2 linked regions of the Drosophila melanogaster genome follow. The protein of the gene in region 1 interacts with the protein of each later gene in a pairwise test. Each region holds a gene or a part of one and is shown on either strand. Other genes may lie near its edges.

What was found.
Region 2: the proteins of SmD2 (region 1) and SmF interact in binary tests that used the Drosophila melanogaster proteins (3 or more experiments, as listed by UniProt).

What each region holds. Positions count from the first base shown.
Region 1 is NT_033777.3:6,344,341-6,347,906, reverse strand, and holds SmD2 (small ribonucleoprotein particle protein SmD2), read left to right. Parts: upstream 1-1,995; 5' UTR 1,996-2,134; coding exon 2,135-2,136; intron 2,137-2,270; coding exon 2,271-2,628; 3' UTR 2,629-2,896; downstream 2,897-3,566. Other genes in the region: CG18048 (uncharacterized protein), read right to left, coding at 389-1,714; CG17919 (uncharacterized protein), read right to left, coding at 2,897-3,376.
Region 2 is NT_033778.4:12,183,338-12,186,203, reverse strand, and holds SmF (small ribonucleoprotein particle protein SmF), read left to right. Parts: upstream 1-1,893; 5' UTR 1,894-2,014; coding exon 2,015-2,281; 3' UTR 2,282-2,360; downstream 2,361-2,866. UniProt on the Drosophila melanogaster protein: Plays a role in pre-mRNA splicing as a core component of the spliceosomal U1, U2, U4 and U5 small nuclear ribonucleoproteins (snRNPs), the building blocks of the spliceosome.

The sequences.
Region 1 (3,566 bases):
GTTCAAAATAAGCTATGTCATTTGTCAACATTTCCGTAACTCTTTTTTGTAACAATATATAAATTTTGCATGAACATTTTATGGTAATGACACCATTTAAATTGTGCAAAATAGCTCGATATAAAAAACATTAATTCTACAACTAAAAAAAATTACCTATGCGGACCGCTTCAATAAAAATGTCTTCCTAGCTAATAAATATTTTAATAAAGCGAAATAAAAATATGACATTGCATTTTCCTAGTTAAATATTTTTCGTCACAAAAGATGACATCAGAACATTTTTATGGCGATGGTGCGATCGTCACTAGTTTTTAGTAAATAATGAAAAATTTAAATCCAGGAGCAGGATATGAATTAAGGAAGGAGAAAAGTCATTTTACTTAAGTCAACAGCATTTATTTTGGTCCAGCTTAGGGCTGGTCGGTCTGGCCAGCAGAACCACGTTTTCCAAAGTCACATCCCTGGGAACATAGAACTTAAGTTCTGCTTGATATCCGTGGGATCGTAGATGCTCCAGTCGTCCATAATCCAGAACCCGCTTGCACTGTTGGCCAATTTGTTCGCGCTCCTGGCGAGTTAGACGCTGCGTGTTCGTCTCGGTGAGCTGAAAGTCAGCCGATTCCATGGCCTTACGCCGCTCTCGGCTTAAGCCCGTGCCACAAACTGCCCAACTGACCATTTTGGTTAGGATAACGAACTCCCGTGGTCCAATTCCAGCTTCCTGAAGAAACTTGCGTCCCACGTAGGAGCGCCAGGAGCAGCGATGATGACAACACAGGGCGATGAGAACGTAGTCCGAGCTGGCATTTCCATCACCGAGTATACATCTCAGGGTCAAGTCTGTAGCTGCTCCACAGAGGTGCTTCGAAAAAGCCACCGTTCGTTGGGTTTTCTTTAGCTCCGGCAGAGCAGAAAGCTTAAGATCAGCGATATCAGCACGGATACGTTGCACCACCTCCCTGTTGGCCAACTTGTTGTCCTTCTTGTGCCGCAGGGACATTCGATCGATGAGGACCACCTGTGAGTGACTCAACTTCTGTTCCTGCAATACGGTGGCCAAAAAGTAGGCCAATTGTCCCTTTCCGGCTCCGAATTCTATATAGCTCGTGTGATCCATCAACTGGTGATCGTGTTCCAGGATGCCCAGCAAGCTAGTGGTCTGGGTGAGCTGGCGTAGCGTTTCCTGGCCGTAGTCCTTGCGACTAAGTTCCTCCTTTAGGGATTCGTGCTCCAGCTGCAGTTCCTGTATGCTGGAATTGATGTGCTTGTCATACAGATTCTTAACTTTGTCGATCAGACTGTAGAACTCTTCATCCGCCAGTTCGTGCAGTTTTATTTGATTGAATTTGTTCAAATCTTCGTCTGTTTCCTTAAGATTGTCTCCAGAATTCACTCCTTTTACAATGTAGGGCAGTGAACTTTCCTGATCCCTGGCATTGCAAATGGTCAAGTGTTTGGCTAGTTTTCTTTTAAACACGGTATGTTTGTGATCAAGCGGGCAGGGAATACGTTCCTGGAAGGAATCTTCTCTAGCTTTTTCATCGCAAGTTGCAGTGGTGGCTGCCGATGAGGCATGGGCTCCACAAAACTCACTGCCCTTGTTTGCAGTCATCTTGCAGCGGCGCTTTTTGCGTAACACCCAGTAGGAGCAAGTGGTGGTTACCGGCTTCTCCGCCTTGACAGTGGTCATCGTCTCTTTCACAGGTTCCATTCGTTACTTTTATTTTCAAAATAAATTCCTCCCAATTCGGAACTCGTGCCAGGCAGTGTGACCAAGGCTGGCACACTAGATAACACTATTACCAACTTTTCACAAAAATGTTTTAACTATGGTCTTAAATATGTTTACACTTCTTACATTGAATATTTTAATAAGTTTTTTAATAAAAAACTCAAATTGAGCTTGATTTTTCAAAATAATAGTTTATTTAATTTACGCGAATGCCAAACGCCGATAGTTAGCTTTGAAATTCAGGGCTGGTCGAGTGCAAACGTCCTCAGAGCTGGTAACACTGCAAAAAAAACGAAGCCGCGCTGAATACTTTTGCCAACAATAAACGCAGAAAACCAACTGAGAAGCGAAACAAGAAGACTATCAACATCATTTAACAAGCCATAGTTATAATCCGCTATGTAAGTATCCCGGGGCAGATGGGACAAACCATCGGAAATGGCGTAACTGGCAGCGGCATGTGCGCCGGCATTTTGCATTGTTAGCACCACGCTCGAGTTGTGGGTGAAATACTAATGTACTGTGTTCTCTGCAGGGCTCTTGTGAAACCGAAATCGGAGCTGACCCCGGAGGAGCTGGCGCGGCAGGAGGAGGAGGAGTTTAACACCGGCCCGCTGTCCGTGCTCACGCAGTCCGTGAAGAACAACACCCAGGTGCTCATCAACTGCCGCAACAACAAGAAGCTGCTGGGCAGGGTAAAGGCCTTCGATCGGCACTGCAACATGGTACTGGAAAACGTGAAGGAGATGTGGACGGAGCTGCCGCGGACCGGTAAGGGCAAGAAGAAGGTGAAGCCCGTGAACAAGGATCGGTTCATATCGAAGATGTTCCTGCGAGGCGATTCTGTCATCCTGGTCCTAAGGAATCCCCTGGCCACGGCGGCCGGCAAGTAGTCTACCATAGCGATAGCGTACAGCAACCAATATCCATCAACTTCAGTTAATAAATCCGTAAATCAACCAAATAAGTTCTGTGGACCAAAATGTGCCATTAATTAAAAGTGTGAGCTATAATTTACGACGGAAAATATCCCATCCCAGTAACATATCCCATTATAAATTTGTATAACGAAAGTACAATCCGTAATCGCAATTTCTTATATTTTGATTAACATCTTTTAATCGATTTTTCCTAAAGTATCTGTTTAAGATTAAAACGGAATCAATTCTCCGAAAGTTGCTTGTGCAGTTTTGGAACATAGTCGTCGTACTGGGCTTGGTAGAAAGTTCCAGCAATGGGATTGCCCAACTCGTGATTGATGGCAAACTTGGCGGCACTGAATTTGGGGCGATCCTTGCGGGATCTCTTGCTCACGCGCTCCTCGTCGAACTCAAGTTTGCCGGACTGCTTGTACAGCAGGAAGACGTAGCGATGCAGACCCGTGCCCTGGGGCGGGCCGGAGCCAATGTACTCGGCGATGGGCTCACCACTTGCCAAGTCGTTGCCGGCGATGTTGGCCAGAATCCAGTGCTTGAACTCGCGGAACTTGGGCTCCGCTCGGCTGGGGGCATCGGGATCCGTCATAATGAGCGTGTAGAACTCCCCGGGCTGCGCGTCCCACTCCACGACTGGCTGATCCTTAACCTGGGTGGGCGTTAGCTCCACTCCATCCTTGGCCACCAGGTTGTTGCTGTACGTGACCTTGAATAGGAACGATTTCACAGTTATTTGCTTGATTTTTACATTGTTGCGATCTATCAGCTACTTTACTTTAAGTTAGCTACCTTCTGACCTTTGATCAGAAAGTTGTGACGAGATATTTATCTAGATTTCTATTAAGCTCGGGTGTTAAATGTTTGAAATATTTTAACCTGGTCTGCAAGCACGTAGT
Region 2 (2,866 bases), on another chromosome or scaffold:
GTTATGATAGGGAGCATTACAATGAGTGTTTATGATACGCTTATAGTAATTCCCGCCATATCTACACCCAATTAAGCTGCTTGTAAAGCTAAATAGAAAATCTTTTCGGGCAGCAAATATGACACTAAAAATTTGCCAGCAAGGATTTCGTCCTAAGCTTTATTAATTATACATGAGACTACTATTTCTATAGAGCAAATGTCCAAAATATATTTCTTAGAAACCAGTTCTCTATTTATTTTAGTAACAGTAACAGTAACCAAGTAATCTTAATTTTCACAGTTGCCCTCAATTCCATATTAAGTGTGGTTTTTTCAAGGATATCACACTTTTTCAAATTAAAATATACAATTTTGTATACCGAATTTCATAACTTACTTTGAAAATATACAGGTTTTTTTAGTCACACAATTTATTTGCAACTGGCCTAATTCGCAACAAGTTTGTCCAGCAATTTCAAGGAAACTTTTATTGGATCTATAAATTCTGAGCACCCGCGTACACAACCGACAATTAAAGCTCTACGCACCGCACTTGGGGCGATTTGAAATGTTGTTTGCGTTTTTATACTCGAAAGTCTCAAAAGTTCTGAGATAGCAATTTCAAGTGCATACTTATAAATTCACCTGTGTGGTGGAAAAAGCTTTAAAATACGACAAACAAACCACAGCAAATCCAGAGGGACTCTAAGATAATTACAAGTCATGATTACATTTATTATAATGATTCTTAGTTTTAACAACCTTATTTACTTTTTGTGTGCTATGGTTTAGTTAGATTTTTAAAAGCGTTAACGCAATACATATACGATATGAAAAGTATTGCACGCTATAATCTATAAATAATTAAACACAACCGGCTTTCTCGTCAAGCTTTTGATGCATTTGTGAATTTCATTATTGTTGCGTTTGCTGCTTTATAGAAACAATTGCAAAATGCCTGGGCGAAATGACGGGATCAAATAAATCTATCAGATAGCTGCGTTCATAGCCAAGTTCCTTGAGGTAGAGCAGGCGATCCAGGAGAATTAGACTCTCCAGCACCGGAGCAAAGGACATGCGCAGCAGATAGAACAGATCCAAGAAGTATTTATGCACGGCATATTCCTGGAGCAGGGATTGAAGTTCTTCTTTCTCAACAGCTGCCAACCAGGGAGCATCCAATTTGGTGGCACACTTTTGAATGTACTCCTCGAAACTCTCGAATTTCCGTACCTTGCCCACCTGCAGTTCGTTTTTCAGCTCCGGCGCATGGCGGCAAACCAGAATCTCCAAGAGAGCTCGATAGTAGAGCGTTACATTAGGCAGCTCCTTGGTGTCCAAGGTGCGTTCAATTGACTGGGCCGCCAGCATCCGCGCATTGCGACCCATTCGCACTTGTCGCTCCCGCAGGTACTGACTCAATGGGAATCCATAGTCTGTTTGCAGCTCCATCAGGGACTTATTGCCAAAGAACTCCTGCTGCGAATAGCGCTCCCGCAGCAAATGATAGCAGCAGCCAACATTACAAAGCAACCGGCAGTCCGTTTGGGCGTGGAAAACCTGAAGACAGGTGGCGGCCAGGTTGCCACAGGTATGCAATCCAGTAAGGCAAATGTTTGGACTGTCTTCCGGTCTAAACTGAGTGAAATTCTCCGCCAGCAGGGCACCAAAGTTAAGTTCGGTGGTTATAAACTTTGCCGTTGTCTTGTAGTTTTCCAAGGCAGGCGCACTCTTGGTGCTCTCCCTGGCTGGCGACTTTTTACCACGTCTCTTGGGCGTGATTCCCTGGACTTGCAGCTCCGCTCGTTCCGTAAGGCCATTCCAAGCGCGCTGAAATTAAATAAAATTTTAATTTTGGCGCTTTTGAATGGTTTTTCAATACTCTTCTTCTATGCTATTCTTCTTCTTGTTCTGGTATGTTTACACAGCGCAGCTGTGGTCACACTACACAAAAAAAACGCGAAAAGCCGGCGATTTTCGGCACGCTTGTTGTAATATTTTATAAAAAAGGCAGGAAAAATCAAATAAACAGAATGTCGGCTGGTATGCCCATTAACCCCAAGCCCTTCCTGAACGGCCTGACGGGAAAACCGGTGCTGGTGAAGCTGAAGTGGGGCCAGGAGTACAAGGGCTTCCTGGTCTCCGTCGACGGCTACATGAACATGCAGCTGGCGAACACGGAGGAAGTGATCGAGGGCTCCGTGACTGGTAATCTTGGCGAGGTGCTCATCCGCTGCAACAACGTGCTGTATATCAAGGGCATGGAGGACGACGACGAGGAGGGCGAAATGCGCGACTAGCCAATGGATTCACCTACATACACCCACACCTTACTTCTAAGTCTACAAACGTAATGAAATAAAGCTAACTTTATTTTGTAAGCCCGGCCTACCTGCAATTTGCGATTCCTATTCAATGCGTTCTCGGTGTTTGCCGCGTTCGCATCGATGCCGAGCACGCGGTGACCATACTGGAGCGCCAAGCGCGAGGATAAATACCCTTTGCCATCGCCCGCGTCTACAATGAAGCAATCTTGACCGGAGTTCTTCACAAGCTGGTCCACGAGAACGGCTGTTAGATCCACCTAATCGGAGAGATTAATCAATTCCTAAAATACTCTCATTTAAAATGGTTGGTTTACTTACCTCATGGCACTTTTTGGCGCTCATAAACTCCCGAATGCTTAGCTGCGTGGAGTTCCCCTGACCCTCTGAAGCGACAGGCGTTCTTGTTTGCTCTTGCCTAGGAATTCTCGCCATGCCGGAAACCTTTCTGATTCATCAGTTTTCCAAAATAGGTCTTCTATGGCCAGAGCCACATCTTCCTTGCCGGCGATCTCACTTTTCAGCGTTTCGGATAAAAAGCCGTCCCAGTGCTGGTCCGTC